Linked DNA regions of Daphnia pulex. The main gene of each other region encodes a partner of the protein of the gene in region 2 in a complex. Links are inferred from orthologs where the notes say so. Each region holds a gene or a part of one and is shown on either strand. Other genes may lie near its edges. The genes, in order: DNA-directed RNA polymerase II subunit RPB2, general transcription factor IIF subunit 1-like and general transcription factor IIH subunit 5-like.

Region 1 (6,907 bases), on a different chromosome or scaffold from region 2:
GCAGGCAGCTAAACCAGTCCTTCACACAAGGCAGAAAAAACGTATTTTTCGGGACCTTTTTCCCACCTCGTCCTAGTGCGTCTTACATTTTGATTAATCAAAGGCCATCCACACCAAAAAGCCTTTTTTTCTTTTCTCGTTTGGGCATATTACATATATAGACTGTGTTCAGGCAAATTAAATGACTGGTCCTTTTCTGGCTTTCAGCCAACTAAGAACCAAGCATCACCTAGCAGAAACTGTTATCAGATACGAAATTAATGATTTTTAAATGTAACATAAGACAATCTTATTTAAATATTTTTACCTATGCACTAAAGTTAACAGTAGAGTCAACTGATGATACAGCGAATAATGCTGCACAATAGAAATTATTCGGTACTTTAACTGAACATAAGTTTCTATGTTTTCCGATTTCGCCCAGTAAAAATAACATAGCGAATAAGAAAAATGTGCGGAACCTGTTCTTTCTCTCTTGAATCGAAGACGCCGAAAAATTTTGAGAACATGTAAACCAGTTTGCTGTTTATGCGCTTCGTTTTTAGATGTATCTAAAATCGTGATGTTGCTTATTCTCCACCCTGTGGACAACTTGTTGATGATCAAGCTTGATAATTTTTTTTTTCAAGGATGACTTGCTGGCGAAGACTTCTGGAATTTGCCAGTTACGGAAAAGGTGTGACCAGTCGCAGACCCGACCTATAAAAACCCGCCATCCGACACATCTTCCTCAGTCGAACGCAGATATTGCTCAGTACAACCACTTATTACTCGCAATATCCAGTAATTTTCAAACTGAAAATGTCATTCATTATCCTGCTCTGTCTTGTTGCCTTCGCTTCGGCTGCTCCCCGTAAGTTAAATCATTAAAATATTATTAGAACATAAAATCTAGCTGTTTAATTGAAATTGGCTTTTCATTTTTTAAATTTTGACAGAACGAGCTGCCGTTCCAGTCCTTCAATTAGACCCCGTTTGCCTATTGCCTCCAGTTGCTGATTCTACACAAAACTGCAATAACTACTCCGTCAAGTACTATTTCGATCCGGTCGATGGCGACTGCGAAGATTTCCTTTATTCCGGATGCGGCGCCACTGAAAATGTTTTCAACTCCGAATTGGCCTGCGAACTCCGCTGCGAAAATGTCCACGATCAATTGAACAGTCACGAGAGCATCGAGGTCTTCGGGCGCTATTGGGATTAATTGCAACGCACATCTTTTTTCATGCTCTGTTTCAATCGTGCAATAATTTTTTTTCAGTTTGATGTGTTTGTTGAATTTCAATCCAGGTTATACTGTACCAACTTATTATTGTTGACATTTTTCTCAATCCGCAGTTATCTTTTTTTGTTAACTTCCCATGTAATCCGATATAAATACAGTTGAAGTTTGATTAGAATACATTTTTTCAGTTTTAATATAATCAAGTTGGTTTACAATTAAAATTTAATTTAATTCAATAAATGAATCAAATCAATATAAATTATACAAATAAAACGGAAAACATAAAATTCGAAGCCAATTCGAATTCTCTCTATAATTCCGAGCTTATGTTTAAGTAAGTACATTTGAAATTCTGATATAAAGAGCCCGGAGCTAAATAAATAATTGTGCAATCATGTCGTGCATATATTTTTCAAAGGAAGACAATGATCAAGATGATGAACTGTACAAACCGGTTATCGATATGTGTGTGTTTAATTCTTTTGCGATGCGCGCTTTTCTCTTTTCTCTTCCTTTAGGGGTGAATGATTAAGCGGTTATTTTTATTTTGGTTACATCGCGAAAGGTCAAATTCATGTTTTTTCCAGCTATAATGCCCGATTGCAGGGCTGTAATTATCTCTAGCGGGACTATAAGTACCAGCCGGTCGACTCCTTCCTTCTTCAGTCGAAAGCAGAAGAAGGTTTTTCCCATTTGCTCCATTCAACTCCATAAACTTCAACCGGAAAATGTCGGCTACGTTCGTCGTTATGCTCTGCCTCGTCGCTTTCTCCTCTGCTGCTCCTCGTAAGTGATTTTTTAAATCTAAAATTTTAGTTTTATGTAACATGGGCTTTTTCAAGCAATGCTCTTTTACGATTTATGAATATATTTGAATAGAATTGGCGGTCCCAGTACCGGTATTTGCTCAACGACCATTGGATCCGGTTTGTCTCTTGCCACCACTCAACCCCAAAGTGCGTTGCAATCAATTTTCCATCAAGTGGTACTACGACTCTGCTACCAGGGATTGTGAAAAGATTTTCTACACTGGCTGTGGAGGATCTGAAAATCTATTCGCCAGCGAAGACCTTTGCGAATTGCGCTGTGATCAAGATAATTTCGACAGCTACGAGAGCGTTGAGGACTTCCAGCAATATCCCTCGTTGCAGAAATTCAGATATTTCGTTCTTGGCAAGTAATCAATTGATGTAAAATGCTTTTCTCTAGCACAACGTTGTTATTCTTTTATTTTAAAAAGTAATTTAAAGAATTGTTCTTACATTGATCACATGGATTGTCTTTCAATGTAATCTATATTATTCAGTTAAAATTAATTTTGAATACACTTCTTATTTACTCACACAATACGAGTTGTTTCGTGTTTTAAAGAAAATATTTTTTTACCGACTTTTAAATAAACCGGCGAAATTAAAATATATCCGGCAACGCCACCTTGCGTCTCATTTTCGATTTGGCCGGCAGATGTCGAAATTGAGTTTTTCCGACAAGTGCGACAACAGTGAACGAAAGTCGACTGCCGGCTGCAAAGGCCAACGAATCTTTACATTGCAGTCGTTTTCTAATTCATAATTAATTTGTCGATTCGTATAATAACACAATGTACGATCAAGACGAAGGTAACATCAAAATATGATGATATTCATACATTTTTTTCTCATTCTAACGTGTCTTTTACTTAAGATCCGATCGAGGATGAAGATGGCGAGGAAATCTCTTCAGAGCTTTGGCAAGAAGCCTGTTGGATTGTCATCAACGCATATTTCGATGAAAAAGGTCTTGTGCGACAACAGCTTGATTCGTTTGATGAATTTATTCAGATGTCTGTACAAAGAATTGTTGAAGATTCACCTGCCATTGACCTTCAGGCAGAAGCCCAGCATTCTTCGGGGGAAGTAGAAAACCCTCCGAGATATGTCCTAAAATTTGAGCAGATTTACCTCTCGAAACCTACACATTGGGAGAAAGATGGTGCTCCGACAGCCATGATGCCTAATGAAGCAAGACTAAGAAATCTCACCTACTCTGCCCCGTTGTATGTTGATATCACGAAAACTGTGCACAAAGAAGGGGAAGAGCAGGTCGAGACACAGCATCAGAAAACATTCATTGGCAAAATTCCTATCATGTTGAGATCCACTTATTGCCTGCTGAATGGAATGAATGATCGTGATTTGTGTGAATTGAATGAATGCCCTCTCGATCCTGGTGGATATTTTATCATCAACGGCTCAGAAAAAGTATTGATTGCTCAAGAGAAGATGGCCACAAATACAGTGTATGTCTTCAGCATGAAGGACGGCAAATTCGCTTACAAGACAGAAATTCGTTCCTGCTTGGAACACTCGTCACGTCCAACCTCCACCTTGTACGTCAACATGTTGGCACGTGGTGGTCAGGGCATCAAGAAATCCGCCATCGGCCAGCGTATCATTGCCATTCTGCCCTACATTAAGCAAGAAATTCCCATTATGATTGTGTTCCGAGCCTTAGGTTTCGTGGCCGATCGAGATATTCTCGAGCACATCATCTACGACTTTGAAGACCCCGAAATGATGGAAATGGTGAAACCTTCGCTGGACGAAGCCTTCGTCATCCAGGAGCAGAATGTTGCCTTGAATTTCATCGGTGCTCGCGGTGCCAGGCCTGGTGTCACCAAAGAGAAGCGTATCAAGTACGCCCGTGAGATTCTCCAAAAGGAAATGTTGCCTCACGTTGGTGTGTCCGACTTTTGCGAGACGAAGAAAGCCTATTTCCTCGGCTACATGGTCCATCGCTTGCTGCTGGCTGCCTTGGGACGCCGTGAGCTGGACGATCGTGATCACTACGGCAACAAACGTCTGGATCTCGCCGGACCGTTGATGGCTTTCCTCTTCCGAGCCCTTTTCAAAACTCTCATGAAAGAAGTCCGAATGTACGCACAGAAATTCATCGATCGAGGAAAAGATTTCAATTTGGAACTGGCCATTAAGACCCGCATCATCACCGACGGACTCCGTTACTCGTTGGCCACAGGAAATTGGGGAGACCAGAAAAAAGCCCATCAGGCCCGCGCTGGTGTCTCTCAGGTGTTGAACCGATTGACTTTCGCTTCGACCTTGTCACATTTGCGTCGCCTCAATTCGCCCATTGGTCGTGACGGTAAACTGGCCAAACCTCGTCAGCTCCAGTAAGTCATTGATTTCAAATTATTTTCATCGGCTTTTGTTTATTACATAACATTTTTTAAAACTATTTTAGCAACACGCTGTGGGGAATGGTTTGTCCAGCCGAAACGCCCGAAGGAGCTGCTGTCGGTCTCGTCAAGAATTTGGCTTTGATGGCCTACATTTCAGTCGGTTCCCAACCGTCGCCCATCCTCGAGTTTTTGGAAGAGTGGTCCATGGAGAACTTGGAAGAAATCGCTCCGTCTGCCATTGCGGATGCCACCAAGATTTTCGTCAACGGTTGCTGGGTGGGTATCCATCGCGACCCGGAGCAGTTGATGGCCACCCTGCGCAAACTGCGTCGTCAGATGGACATTATCGTGTCTGAAGTATCGATGGTGCGCGACATCCAGGACCGTGAAATTCGAATTTACACGGACGCCGGCCGTATTTGTCGTCCATTGTTGATCGTCGAGAACTGCAAATTGTTGCTGAAGAAGCGCCACGTTGACATGCTCAAACAGCGCGAGTACATCAATTTCAGCTGGCAGGAACTGGTGGCCACTGGTGTAGTCGAGTACATTGACACTTTGGAGGAGGAGACGGCCATGATTGCCATGTCGCCCGAGGACTTGCGCCAGGTAAATTTTCTGCATTGATTTTTTCTTTCCCTACCCCACCCCATCCAGCCGTTGAATGTTTTGCTTTGTTTATCCAGGGTAAAGACGCCTACTGTACGACGTACACGCATTGCGAGATTCATCCGGCCATGATTTTGGGAGTTTGCGCCTCGATTATTCCGTTTCCCGATCACAACCAGTCGCCTCGTAACACTTACCAAAGCGCCATGGGTAAACAAGCCATGGGAGTGTACATTACTAACTTCCACGTCCGGATGGACACTCTGGCCCACGTCCTGCAGTACCCTCAGAAACCTTTGGTCACGACACGCTCCATGGAGTACCTGCGCTTCAGAGAGTTGCCCGCCGGCATCAATTCGATTGTTGCCATTCTCAGCTACACCGGATACAACCAGGAGGATTCCGTCATCATAAACGCTTCCGCCGTCGAACGAGGATTCTTCCGCTCCGTCTTTTTCCGATCCTACAAAGATCAAGAGTCTAAACGATCGGCCGATCAGGAGGAAACGTTCGAGAAGCCTTTCCGCGATCATTGCCAGGTAACCGATCAGAATTCCGGAATTTTTTAACTTCTTCGGTAATCACATTTTGTTTTCGTCTAGGGAATGAGAAATGCCATTTACGACAAGTTAGACGACGACGGCATCATTGCACCTGGACTTCGTGTGTCTGGCGATGACGTGGTTATTGGCAAAACGATCACTCTTCCGGAGAACGACGACGACCTGGAGAGCACCACTAAAAAGTTCTCGAAACGGGACGCCTCCACTTTCCTGCGTCACTCGGAGACGGGCATTGTGGACCAGGTGATGCTGACGTTGAACGCCGAAGGCAACAAGTTTTGCAAGATTCGCGTCCGCTCGGTCCGCATCCCGCAGATTGGCGACAAATTCGCCTCCCGTCACGGTCAGAAGGGTACGTGTGGAATTCAGTACCGCCAGGAGGATATGCCGTTCACTTGCGAGGGCCTGACTCCCGACATCATCATTAACCCGCACGCCATTCCGTCTCGTATGACAATTGGTCACTTGATCGAATGCCTTCAGGGCAAAGTGTCGGCCAACAAGGGCGAAATCGGCGACGCCACTCCGTTCAACGACGCCGTCAACGTCCAAAAGATCTCGAACCTCTTGCAAGAGTACGGCTATCACCTGAGAGGCAACGAAGTGCTCTACAACGGCCACACTGGTCGCAAGCTCAGCGCTCAAGTCTTTCTCGGCCCGACCTACTACCAGCGTCTCAAGCACATGGTGGACGACAAGATCCACTCTCGAGCCCGAGGTCCGGTCCAGATCCTCGTCCGCCAGCCCATGGAAGGTCGTGCCCGCGACGGCGGTCTCCGATTCGGAGAGATGGAACGAGATTGTCAAATCGCCCACGGAGCGGCTCAGTTCCTGCGCGAGCGTCTCTTTGAAGTTTCCGATCCTTACCGCATCCACGTTTGCAACCTCTGCGGAATCATCGCCGTGGCCAATTTGCGCAACAACACGTTCGAGTGCAAGGGCTGCAAGAACAAGACGCAAATCTCCCAAGTTCGGCTCCCCTACGCTGCAAAGCTCCTATTCCAGGAGCTCATGTCGATGAACATTGCACCCCGTTTGATGGTCATCTAATCTCCCCATTTTCTTTTCTTCTTCTTCTTTTTTTCTCCCGGGGTTCCTTTTCATCCGTTTCGATTAAATCCTACCCCCTTCTTGTGTTTGCCCGCCGGGTTTTTCTGAAATTACGTGTCGACTCGAAAAGTTGCCGAATTAAACGGTGGAAAGATAAAAAGACGAGAAAAATTCAAACTTGTTTTATCGACCCTGTCGTTATTTAAATCTTTTTTTTTTTGTTTCTTTCCTTTTTCGCCAGAATCCTTCCAACAATGACAGATGGAGAAATAAAAAGGAAGT
Region 2 (6,953 bases):
TCTTGACATTCAAGATTTGAAATTTTGAATCTTTCTTTTTTAGTTCTCGTCATTTTTGTCAGAAATGCTTCTTATCAAGGAAAATCATATGTGGAAAAATAAACCCATTGCCATTTTTCACAATGAATTGAATAACGACGTACTTATAGAAAGACTCGAACGATCTTTTCAAATACATTGTAAGATAGTGAGCTAAAGAATGAATAATAATATAATCACTTACCGATACTAAGGTATGTTAACTAATATTGAATCCATTTGGTCAGACTCAGAAAGCTTGGTGCCATTCTCTTGCTATTTCCCAGCATCCCAAGCCACATTCCTGCTTATCGACTTTAAATGTTACTTTCAGCACTGGACAGAAGATGAAGCCTACGATGAGGAGAAAATTAATTGGTGAGTGTTTGATTCATGCATACTTCTTTAACTGCAGAATTTCAACTTTGTGTTAATTAGGCTAACTAAATTTGTCAATACCAATGATGGACCTCACTTTATATATCTATGTCCACAAGTTGATGAACTCTTGATTTCTGTCACATATGATATTCAAAGAAGGTTTGCATGTTATGATAAAATTTGTGCTGAAACTAAAGTATCCAATTCTTAGTATTGAGACAATGGTCATGAATAAGACTGTATCATTTGGATTTGCTCCATCCTGGAAAGCTGCTGCAAATTATATGAAAGAAGCTGCTAATGTAGGTTACTTTATGTTTGTAGTTTTTGATACACTTTTAATGTTTATTTTCCGAGTCCAGAAATTCTCCGTCGAAAGTGTCGCCGAATATTCCGCCGATTATCAGAAAGATATTGAATTCTTGATTGAAAACGCGAAAAGGGCTTGCACAGACGACGAAGCAGACATGTCAAAGCGACTTCAAGTTTTCTCTCTATAGTATTCTGAACGAATATCCAGCACCTTGCTCACCACCAAGAAATGTTAACTTGTCAGTTCAATGGCTGTTTTTCATCTAAAAATGTGAAGTGTTTCCAATAACAGATAACTTGTTGAAATAATACCAAAACTTACAACTGCAAATTTGTTTAATCGTTCCGAAAATCACGCATTTTAACAACCGTTCTAGTCCGTTTTTATAAACCGTAAAGGGAAGGCCTGAGATAATTTCAGTAAAGTAGCAATAGTGATTGCAGCACAAACAGAACACACCAATCATCGTTATTGTCGCTAAGCCTTAATCGACAAATACATCTTCCCTTTAATTGTCTGCTTCACGGGGTTGATCTTCTTCAAAATTTGTGCAATGTGATGGACAAGCTGGTCCGACGACAAACCAGTTTTCTTGCTTTTGAACTTCTGAAGCAATTCGGTCGTTGTCATTGGCTTGCGGGATAAATAACGTCTAACAGACTCTTCATTGACTCCTTCATTGGCACTGTAAAAGAAAAAATATACATAACGTTTCAGGATTAATTTTAGTTCATTATTTATAAATACCTAGATGATGATGCAGCTGAAGCGGCAGAGGCAGCTGAAGCAGCGGATGCCATGTCCAATCGAGGTTTCTTTGTTGCTTGGCCAGTAAGAGCATCGGACACTGCAGGTGTTCCCTTTCGCTTGCTATCTGATAGCGTTGTTTTAGGCGGCGATGTTTCAGGTTTCGTCGGAGTAGCTGATCTAGAACTGTTGGCACTCCCCCTAGAAATAGTTTGTCAGTTAACTGTCAGGAAACCAAATTACTGCACTTACGGTTTCATTTTTGGGCTCGGTTTAGCTTTCTCCAGTTCGGATGCTGAGCTCTCGGCACCGCTGTCGCTTGACGATCCTGATAAATGTTTCGTTATTATTTGACTCAAACACACGATGTTTTTAAATGGATATTACCATAATCCTCGTTGCGGGGCTTTTTATCCTTGTTCTTCTTTTTTTCTTTCTTCTTCTTTTTGTCGCCTTTTTCGTCTTTGGAAGCCTTATCACCTTGCTGGTCTTCGGCACCTTCAGCATCTTCCTCTTCTTTGTCTTTGTCTTCTTCTTCCTCCTTTTCTTCGTCTTCATCTTCTTCGTCCGAGTTAAGCAACTTGCGGAGAGCATCCTCTTCGGCAACACCCTTTAGTCCGTCCTTTGCTTCTTCTTTCTCGAAATCACTAGATTAAAGAACAACGCGGGTGTGTTAGAAAATCGACAAATGCATCAAGATTAATGACATACCTTTCGTCATCGTCGGAAGAGGAAATGTAATCCAACTCTCTGCCTTCACCATCACCATCATCGCTATCTTCGATAGCTTCATCATCGGACGCATTCTTTCGCTTCTTCTTCGGCTTAACAGGTTTCTTGCCTTTCTTCTTCTTTTTCTTACTTTCTCCATCATCGTCGTCGTTATCATCATTGCCGTCGCTAGAATCGTCATCGGAAGATGCCATCATATCGTCCAATTCATCACCAAAACGAGAATCTGAATGCAAAAGTTGTTATAATTTTGTGACATTATTTATGGTGGAACTTTTGCTTGTTGCCTACCTTTAGCTCCCTTCTTTTTCTTGCCTTTCTTTCCTTTGCCTTCACCTTCTTCCTCGCCCTCTTCTTCGGCGTCTTCATCGTCTTTCCTTAGTCTCTTTCTCATCATGACATTGAACATGTTGTATGTTTTGTTCCTCATGTTGTACCCTTCCTCTGCTTCTTCAATACTCAGTGGTTTGTAATTTTGAACTGCTTGAAAACTGTATTGTTCTTGCACAGGAAAGGCATCAAACACACCATCTGGTGCTTGCGTAAAAACGTAGTACGATGCATTTTCATTAATGCCACCATCTCTTACTCCTGTTTAATAAAATAAATATAATTGCACATTACTAAACTTTCTTATTGCTATCTTAGCTTGGTTTCCAACTTTAGTATACCTCTGAACTTTTTCCCACTTTTTCCCCCATGTTGTAAAATCCAAGGCTGGTTTTCAGGATTATACTTTTTGCTTATTATGCCATACTTCTTCCGTCTAGCTTCCTCACGAGCCTCTCTGCCATATTCACTCCCAGCACCAAACTTTGGCATATCTTCATTGAACCCTTTGAATGTGACTTGGTTGTTTTCCCTTTCCATTTTTGGATCTTTCCATTGTACAAAGTCAATACCCATTGAGCCATTGAATCTCATGATGGCAAGCTTTTTGTTTATGTTCCTGTGACAACATTATAAACTCGGTTTAAGAAGGCAAAAATCTAGATGGTAATGTCTGATATTCTTACTTGGGGACTCGAATGTCAATAGTCTGAACATTAGAAGCAGCAGCGGCAGGAGCTGATCCACCAGCAGCTGGAGTCTAATGTAACACATATTATTATGTTGAACTAATTAATTAAAAACCAAAATGTCTTTACCCTGGTAGCAGCAGGAGTTGATCCACCAGTAGGAGTCTTGAGAAACACATGTATTAATATTGAATTAACTGATTGAGAAGACAAAAAAATTGTACCTTGTTAACAGCAGACATTATGATGTGACGGTGAAAAACGATTGACAAAACAACTTCTCACCGGCGACACAATGATCGAGACACACCACCGATGTGTTCGTCACAAGTTCGTCACGAATGGTAAATAACTAACCCAACTATGCACGTTACTAAATTATAGGCCAAAATTAAGGGGTGGTGATCGAAATTTCTATGCCAAAAAATATTGGGACACTTTAAACAGCGCCAACGAATTTTATACCCGACCCGATACTGAAGAAAAATAGTCGACGACGACCCAGTTCAGTTTTCGTCTGCTTCAGTTCTTTTCTTTTCACGTCGAGACTGCACTGTCGACTTCCCGCCTTGAACCACATGATAAATTGTGAAAGGCTATTTCTCACTTACCTTATTAAAATATCCAAAAATGGCCAATCAAAAAGTTTTTTTATAAAGAGGTCTAAATTGTTAAGTAATATTACAAGTAAAGTAAATGATTATTCATTTTTCAACTATTGAAGTTCGTTAGTTCCAATTTTGGTCGCCATGGAATTAGATTACCTATCTATTCTCAACTGCCTAATTCGTTTTTCGTCATTTATTTTCTTTCTGTTGTGGAAAGCGTTCGTCATGGTGTTATCGTTCTCTGGGAGAAAAATATATGGAATAGTTTACCATGCATTTGTTGTGTACAGGAAAAGATTCCTGAATGTTGTTCCTAAGAAACCAGCTCTAGTTTCAAGAAACATTGGTAAGTTGCCTAATTTTTGAATTCATGTAACAAAAACAATCAATAACTTGTTAATCTGCAGGATGGATGCTGGGTTTGTTACCTGCAGTCTCTGCTAGTGTAAAAGTTGATGAAGAAAGAGAAAATAAGACCAATCTTATTTCTGAAGCTGATGTCTTGTACAATGAGCATTCCTACACCAAATTGAGAAGTCTTCTGTTGCCCTACAAGGTAATAAGAATAAACTGATTTGTCAGTCTCTGTTTTAATGTTGGAAAAACTTTTTTTAGGCCGAAGATAATGCCGAAATTCTTTGGCGACTGGCACGAGCGACGTATGAAGTAGCGAAATTATCGTCCAGTCCAATTGAACAAAAAGAATTAGATTTTGAAGCATACGGTTATGTTGAAGGGGCGCTGCTCATTGATCCGGAAAACTTTGCTGCTCACAAGTGGATGTTTATTTTGTTAGATAAAAAGGCGTCCTACGAGGGCTTAAAGGAGCGCATTTCTCAATCGTTTGTCGTCAAGAAACACATAGAAAGAGCGTGTGAACTCAACCCAAAGGATGCAACTTCATTTCATTTGCTAGGCTACTGGTATGACAAGATAACAACTTTTCTTTTGTATGTAACGTAACACATTTTCGTGCAACTTTAGGTGCTTTTCTGTTGCTGAATTGCCGTGGCTTCAGAGGCAAATTGCCTCAACCTTGTTTGCTACACCGCCCGTATCTTCTTACGAAGAGGCACTGCAGTATTTCCTAAGAGCGGAAGAAGTTGAGCCGAATTTTTACAGGTACGGCTTGGTTTAATTTTTCATTTTTCTAAATAATTGTGCATTTTGAATGGTTTCGTTTCAGTACGAATTTATTGATGCTGGGGAAAACATATTTGCGGCTCAACAATAAAGAAAAAGCTATCGCTTATTTGACCAGAGCTCGAGATTATGCTATCGCCTCGTCAGAAGATTTGGAGGTGACATATAACGCATTAACCTTTTCTACATTTTATTGTTTGATAAAAATGGTTTTACATTGATATCATAGGCCAAACACGAGGCAGTCAAGCTATTAAATTCCATCAGATAGGCCGCTGGCTCCAAGGACGCTCGAGGATATTTACCCATATCCTTCCACATAAAGAAAAATGTATGCGCCTCTTCTGTTTACCTTGAAATTTAATCAAAAATGTTTGTTTTTTTATTATTAAATGATTTCCTTGTGTGTGTGTTATCGGTACAACATGCAATAGTGCAACAGTTTCCCAAATTTCCCCGTGCGTGTTTACGAATACAAAGTTCATTCACTTGTTCTCGATAGGTCCGATAGGTAGCGTTGCGTGTCACCACAGCCCGAAATGTGCCGAGCTAGAATCCCCGCCAGCCATATGAAGGGAAAGGATACGACGTATGTGTTATCTGTACGTGACGGTCCGTCGGCATTGTGAGTTGCTTCGTGTAGTTCTGAGCTTGTGGACTTGTTTATTTGACTGTGTCTGCTAGGTCAGGAGTTTGTTTCTACAAGTTTTTACTTTGTTTCATCTCTTCCCTGTTGGATTCAACTAAAAGAAAATCCTGTTTTCTTTAATTAGGCAAAACAGGTGGTTGTGGAAATTTTCTGGCAGTCTGTTTGGCGATCACGTGAAAAGTAAGTCCTCGATTATTTTCGTTCACTATCATTCGTGTGTGTGTCTGCTTGGAATCTAAAATTGTGTACAACTCCGCCTGGTTGTATGGCAACCGAACTGGTTCGTTCGTCTGGCGTCTGTAAATCAACAGATAACCAACTGCGTATACAATTCGTGCGGGTAGAGATAAAACGAAGGCAATAGTATATGACACACTTTGGCATTGTGTGTAGGTGTAAGTGGAAGCTACTATTTCAGAGGGAAAGTCCCGCGTTGCGCACGAGCCTTGAGGGGCCCAGGACGGGGAGTTCACCTGTTGGAATATGCGCACACAATTCCTAATAGGGAAATTTAAGGAGAGGTTTCGTGAGAGCCAACAGTTATTTGCCTACACGTTGAAACGTCCCGGCACTCAGACTGTGTTGTTACGCATCGATAGTTTTACGGGTCCGCGTGACGTAACCCCTACGGTTATCCAACCGAGACTGGCCAATTGGAAAACGCCGCGCTGGAAGAAGACGGATCGACACTTATATGGCCGAAAATGAAATGCACCCAAAGAGAAAGAATGATATGTCTGGGTAGAATGTCTTATTTTCAAAGCTATTTCACTTCAGGCCAACGGGGGGATTTTTTAAACATGAAATGGTCCACGATGATACGCAAATGTGAATCGATAGTTGTTGTAGACAAGAAAAATCTGGTTTTTACATGTCGCCATGTAGCCAAACGCGTGTAGTTTTCCCAGAAATCATTTTAATGCCATGTCGTTGCTAGATGCAAAAGAGAGATTTTATCTGGCGGGTTAGACATTTCACCAAACTTGAAAGCACACCTGAAGAAAAAACCCAAACCCTGTGACCTTAAGGATGGTTTTCGAGAACCAGTTAATCTGCGCATAACCTCTCCTAAATAAATGTTGGGACATCGGGACCACGCCTTGTTGATTAGCATATGCGTTCAAACCATGCAGGCTCTGGGCTGCATTTTTCGACGTCAATCTTAAGCTTATTAGTCGTATTCAAGTTTATTTTAGCAATGCCATGGTAAGTGGTATCTATTGAAGGATCTTTCACCACCCACTTAGAGATAGGACACGCTAGAAGATAGTTTGGAATCTTGGTTACTAAGCAACTAGCAATAATCGTCCTATCATATATCAAATGTCGTATCATCACCAGCA
Region 3 (5,603 bases), on a different chromosome or scaffold from region 2:
CACCCAATAATGAATTATTTTAGCTGCTTACCAAACCCAGCAGTCATCTATGTGTGGCTCAATGGAGGCACCTCTTTCTGGATCATATTCTAAACTACATTGTTCAATAGTATGATAATCCTTCAGAAGAGGAACACTTTCAATCCTGTCATGAAATATTTTAGAAAAGCTGGGGACTCCTTTAAAACTACCAAGTTGTAGTTTTCTCTTCTTAAAATTGGTTTTTGGTCCAAAGTTCTAAAATAATCATAATTATCATATGCTCAACTATAGCTCATTAAGCAAAGGAAGATAATTTACCTGCTTACGTCTTCCACTAACAGAATACTCCCAAGGAATAGAGTCAAATGAACTCATGAGTTTAACCATTTCTTCTTCACTGAAAAAATCTTGCTGTTAATCACAGATTAAATTTAGAAGATTTGTTGAACAATGTATAGACTAAAAGCTGAATTTTACCTGAATGTAAATCCCAGGAAATTCAATTGGTTCACCACGATGGTTTGGATGATGTGTTGGATCAAAGTCCCAACCTGGCCAGGCTAAATTACAAGCTGGGCAAAACACATACGATTGAATCCCCTGAAATTATAGAGTTGATTTATCAACATGAAACTTAGAAAGCAGAAGACACATTTAAAATTTTTAATATACTTTTTCTTCCAGCGACTCTGCTGTAAATGAGTCATCCTTAAAAGGTAATAGATTAAATTCTTTTTCACATAGCAAGCAAGAGCGGTACCCTTTGCATCCACAAGGACGTGGTTTACCTGACATCGTTTATAGTTTGTTAACAAAACGTTTACTTCCGAACTTTTTTAACTGTCAACAAAAGTCAACGCAAACGAAATTAAGGAACACATGACAAAAAAATCGTCTGCTGACTGGTTGAAGTTTCCAGCGTTGAAGTTTTTTGATTTTGTGTTACATTCTTCTTTTTCTAATAATAAATTGCGATCTAATAAGATGATTCATTACACAAATTTTTTTCCTTTTTTATTTTTTTGTCTTTTTAAATTCAAAATTCATGAAATAACAAGAGCGTTTTGGGTCGTACACACCCATAAGATTGCAGCGCCGCCACTACGGTTTTCGGTCGTGGACTTGATATTTGATAACTGTCACTCTGTTTTTTGATTATTTTTATCTTCTTCAAACTCTTGTTTATATTATCTTCATATAATGTCTGCTGAGTCAATTAAAAATCCTGGCGGGGTAACGGTTATTTGTTTTCTTAATTTTTTCGTGCGATTTGTTTACTGTCTAAATGAAACACGAATGATACTTAAACATGTACTCTCTTATTGAAACAGTTTACCAACCCGGAAATGCCGGGATACGTAGGGTTCGCGAATTTGCCTAACCAAGTTCACAGAAAATCTGTTAAAAAAGGGTTTGAGTTTACTCTGATGGTTGTCGGTAATGACAAAGCAATTGTATTTCATGTCATCAACTCTAAAGATTTTTATTTTGAATCCATTAGGAGAAACTGGGCTTGGCAAGTCAACACTAGTCAATAGTTTATTCTTGACTGATCTTTATCCTGAACGAAATATTCCATCAGCTGGAGGTTGGTGCTTAGAATTTAGCTAGAAAATGCTTCAACGGTCATAATAGAATAATTTTTTCACAGAACGCACAAAGCAGACAGTCAAAATTGATGCTTCTACTGTGGAAATTGAAGAAAGGGGAGTCAAGCTCCGCCTTACAGTGGTTGATACACCTGGATTTGGAGATGCTATTGATAATACAGATTGGTAATGAAAAAAAATCACTTTTTAAGGCCCATTTTTGATTTAATTTTAAATTGTCTTAATTTTGTTTAGCTTCAGATCAATAATTCAGTATATTGATGACCAATTTGAGCGTTTCCTGCGCGATGAGAGTGGGTTAAACCGCCGTAACATAGTCGATAACCGGGTCCATTGCTGTTTCTACTTCATTTCTCCATATGGACATGGGTATGATAGATTCCACTCGTGATTCAACTAGATTTCACAGAATGTATTGGCTAATCTTTTCCTAAATAGGCTTAAACCCCTTGATACGCAATTTATGAAAATGCTGCATCACAAAGTCAACATCGTGCCTGTAATCGCTAAAGCAGATATGCTAACAAAGAAAGAAATTGCTCGGTTGAAGAAAAGGGTAAAATTGTGACCAACATTTAGATTTATTATAAACTTGTTTAACTAAAAAATTATTAGGTCATGGAAGAAATTGAGGCAAACGGAATTCGTATTTACCCACTTCCCGATTGCGATTCGGATGAAGACGAAGACTACAAAGAGCAAGTTCGTCAGCTTAAAGACGCAGTGTATGTAATAATTCATTCAGACTAATAACAATTATAATTCATTCATAATAATAATAATAATATAATTCATTTATTCAGACCTTTTGCTGTATGTGGGGCCAATACGTTGATTGAAGTTAAGGGCCGAAAGGTCCGCGGACGGCAGTATCCATGGGGTGTCGTTGAAGTTGAAAATCCTGAACACTGCGATTTCATTAAACTCCGAACGATGCTGATGTAACTTGTTTGACTCGTCAAAGATCGAAAATCTTGCATTGCACTAACGTTTAATTCTTTCATTATTTAGTCAACAGCTACAAGATTTACAGGAAGTAACACAAGATGTTCACTATGAGAACTACCGATCAGAACGTCTTGCTAAAGGTGTAGCTTCGAATCGAAAAACCGCTGGGCCAACTAATTCCACCGCGCCATCGGCTGCTCCGGAGCAGATTAGTGAGAAAGAAAAAATACTTCAGGTTAGTAACTATTGTGTTATTAATAGACAATGGAAATAGTGTTTCGACCGTTTGCATCATTGTTTTGTTCTCACAGGAAAAAGAGGCGGAGCTACGACGTATGCAACAGATGTTGGCTCAAATGCAAGCACAAATGCAACAACAACAACCTCAATAGCACTGTGCGTCGTCTTTAACAGCAATTTTCAGTTGTCACTTAAACCAAAAGGAATTCTTCTCTACTGTTTTGACTGTTTATTCAGCTTTGATTGCTGTTTCAACACCCTTGGCACTCTTACCTTCCAATGTGAAGATCTTAGGTTTCCTCGATAAAATCCCATTCAAGTGCCAACATTTAACAAATTCGCTGTGCTTCATTATTTGGTCACTTCACTAGTAATTTTCCTCATTTGCGTACATTCGAATTTTTCTTCCATGTAGGGCAATTAAAGCCCAGATGCGCCTCGAATATCCTACCCAATCATTTTCTTTTTAGTGTCTCGGACTCTCGGTACTGGTCGCAGTATTTCAATATACAATTTTTTCAGACTCTTGCTTCCTTTTTCCCATTAAAAGATTTAATTTTTCTTAGTTTTCTTGAAGTGAAACCAAACCTTTATGAATGGAAGTCTTGTAAATTTTTATATAATGCGCCAACAAACTCCTTTCCCGCTCAATTTAAGACGCCACCTACCGACGCCAATCAAAAGCTGGAAGTGCTGAAAGAAGATGCCAAAAATCCAAAATGGTGATCAGACGATCAGTTACTTACTTACTTTTTACCAATGGGGCAAGATGGTAAACGTAACTAAAGGAATTCTGGTAATAATTTACGGTAAAACTTATAAATGCCACTTGATTTATTATATCTTTGTATTTGAAGTATGGTATTTTAACTTACTTCAATCACTAGTGAAATTGACTGTGCTGGTAAAAGTTTCTTGTCAGAAAGAAAGCACAAAATATTCGATCGGACTATCCCGTGGAAATAGTCATAGATTTAGAAATTAATAAGTATCTCAGGTGGCAACTTATAATGGTTTACCTTTTCTTTACATGGTGCTTAATTGTTAAATTTATACTTGAATTTGTATTATTACCCAAAGGTTGAATGTGATGCTGCTATGAAACAATTGCTTCTTCATTTAGACGAGACACATGCTCTAGGCAACAAATTCATAGTTCAAGATTTGGATGAAACTCACGTTTTCATTGTAAAATTTAAAAAATACTTCTATTTTCTCATATTTTGTATTTTTATCTTTTTGACATTTTCTCTGTTAGGCACCTGAATATCTGGAAGTTTTGCAGTCTAGAATTGATGATTTGATGGACAGGATCAGTTTTCCTTTGGCAGAAAGAGAAATCGAGTAAATTATCTATCATCATGAATTCATCTCAGAGAGAGTCAGCCCGTCAGAAGGATGCCAATTCCAGAAGGGTTTTGGATGAGGCAGCTCGTAGGAGAAGAGCAAGGAAAGCATTGGAAGCACTTGAGCAAGATAATTTTCATGATGACCCTCATGCCAATTTAGGTATTTTTGTAAGTTGGCTAGTTTTCAGATCTTTCATTAATTCTGGATATTTATGCAGTACTAAGCAAAAAGATCCCCAAGTTTGAAGAGTCTCTTGATGGTAAACAAACAAGAAGAAGGAAATCTAAAAATTTCGAAATTTTCAAACAACGGTATTTTGTTTAATATTAATTGCTGAAACGAAGTGTAATTCTATTGAAGTAATTTCTCCTCTTTTACAGGTTTCGAAAATCCTTTGCACAGCTGTTGGAGGAAGAACAGGTTAATCGCCCAGAGCCCCCAAATTATGTTTCAGCTCAAGTTCCACCATCTAAGTTTCCCGAACGTCATTTTTGTGCTGTTTGTGGATTTACTTGTAGTTACACCTGTTTATCTTGTGGCGCAAGGTACTGTAGCGTCAAATGCTTAGGTACTCATCAAGACACGCGTTGCTTGAAGTGGACCGCCTAATAATATTCCATTGCTTTCTTACTTGTCATCTCATCAATAAACCCTTTTCGATTATACTTTTTCTTATTAAATGAACAAATAAATCAGCGCTCCTCTAACTATGATTAAAGTGTATTAAAATGCTCATATAAAAATCCTTTTGATTTTGGGCAAATTATAAATATGGAGCAACAGCACAAATTACATGAAGCTCGGTAGTCCTAGAAAATTTCATTTGCTGAAGCCTGAAGGCTTGATTATTAAGGAGGTAGGGGGCAATGCACGTGTTGGGGAAGAGGGTTGAAAAGACAGTCACAACAAATACTTAGAAAATGACACGAGGCGACGAAATACATAAGCCTATAAATGACCTTGATAGTACGTCTGAATAACGCTAAAGAAACTCGACCCCTTTTTATCAGATCGAATGGTTTCTCCTTTTCTTCCCATCCTTCTTGCACTTGCGTCCCATTTGTCGCATTTCAGGCGCATTTATTTTAGTATATATATTCGTCGAGATCTCGTTTCTTCATTCAGTCATCGTGTTCCGTCGTCTTGAGTGGATCTCTCCAGAGTTCCAGCGTCTACGGTATACAATTAGCGTGAGTCTGTTTTATTTTAAATACAATAAGGTAATAGAAATTGATTGATGTTTAATTAAGCTGTGTATAAATAAGTTGTATTAGAGTACTTTGTTTTAGTTTCTGGAGTTGCAATTAGAGTTAAATAACTGAGAATTTATTAAATAAGAAATTGTTTCACTTTGGAGTGTTGATAAGTGAGAAATTAGTCATAAAAGTTAACAGTATGCTATTTATTCGTATTTATTACGATGTTTATTTTTTAAGTGATCATGCATCATAAATATCATCTTAAAGGGAAAAG

The links.
Region 1: general transcription factor IIF subunit 1-like (region 2) and DNA-directed RNA polymerase II subunit RPB2 share a complex: the UniProt entries of both Homo sapiens proteins name them as parts of the TBP-based Pol II pre-initiation complex. The link is inferred for Daphnia pulex from reciprocal best matches to the Homo sapiens genes GTF2F1 and POLR2B.
Region 3: general transcription factor IIF subunit 1-like (region 2) and general transcription factor IIH subunit 5-like share a complex: the UniProt entries of both Homo sapiens proteins name them as parts of the TBP-based Pol II pre-initiation complex. The link is inferred for Daphnia pulex from reciprocal best matches to the Homo sapiens genes GTF2F1 and GTF2H5.

The regions. Positions count from the first base shown.
Region 1 is NC_060022.1:1,079,736-1,086,642, forward strand, and holds DNA-directed RNA polymerase II subunit RPB2, read left to right. Parts: upstream 1-2,674; 5' UTR 2,675-2,825; coding exon 2,826-2,844; intron 2,845-2,908; coding exon 2,909-4,394; intron 4,395-4,465; coding exon 4,466-5,012; intron 5,013-5,089; coding exon 5,090-5,551; intron 5,552-5,614; coding exon 5,615-6,625; 3' UTR 6,626-6,802; downstream 6,803-6,907. Other genes in the region: kunitz-type protease inhibitor 1-like, read left to right, coding at 1,954-2,011, 2,105-2,406. UniProt on the Homo sapiens protein: Catalytic core component of RNA polymerase II (Pol II), a DNA-dependent RNA polymerase which synthesizes mRNA precursors and many functional non-coding RNAs using the four ribonucleoside triphosphates as substrates.
Region 2 is NC_060018.1:349,435-356,387, forward strand, and holds general transcription factor IIF subunit 1-like, read right to left. Parts: upstream 3,762-6,953; 5' UTR 3,453-3,761; coding exon 3,435-3,452; intron 3,376-3,434; coding exon 3,340-3,375; intron 3,282-3,339; coding exon 3,208-3,281; intron 3,141-3,207; coding exon 2,863-3,140; intron 2,783-2,862; coding exon 2,483-2,782; intron 2,418-2,482; coding exon 2,171-2,417; intron 2,107-2,170; coding exon 1,847-2,106; intron 1,788-1,846; coding exon 1,712-1,787; intron 1,661-1,711; coding exon 1,460-1,660; intron 1,398-1,459; coding exon 1,190-1,397; 3' UTR 1,030-1,189; downstream 1-1,029. Other genes in the region: uncharacterized protein LOC124188758, read left to right, coding at 65-179, 267-396, 457-558, 611-701, 762-899; regulator of microtubule dynamics protein 1-like, read left to right, coding at 3,789-3,871, 3,935-4,164, 4,226-4,374, 4,434-4,741, 4,803-4,940, 5,005-5,119, 5,191-5,232. UniProt on the Homo sapiens protein: TFIIF is a general transcription initiation factor that binds to RNA polymerase II and helps to recruit it to the initiation complex in collaboration with TFIIB. It promotes transcription elongation.
Region 3 is NC_060021.1:7,405,777-7,411,379, forward strand, and holds general transcription factor IIH subunit 5-like, read left to right. Parts: upstream 1-3,474; 5' UTR 3,475-3,483; coding exon 3,484-3,576; intron 3,577-3,860; coding exon 3,861-3,968; intron 3,969-4,038; coding exon 4,039-4,128; 3' UTR 4,129-4,156; downstream 4,157-5,603. Other genes in the region: alpha-ketoglutarate-dependent dioxygenase alkB homolog 4-like, read right to left, coding at 32-237, 301-393, 460-582, 655-777; septin-1-like, read left to right, coding at 1,183-1,215, 1,314-1,419, 1,484-1,570, 1,634-1,757, 1,827-1,961, 2,031-2,148, 2,208-2,317, 2,396-2,533 and 4 more. UniProt on the Homo sapiens protein: Component of the general transcription and DNA repair factor IIH (TFIIH) core complex, which is involved in general and transcription-coupled nucleotide excision repair (NER) of damaged DNA and, when complexed to CAK, in RNA transcription by RNA polymerase II.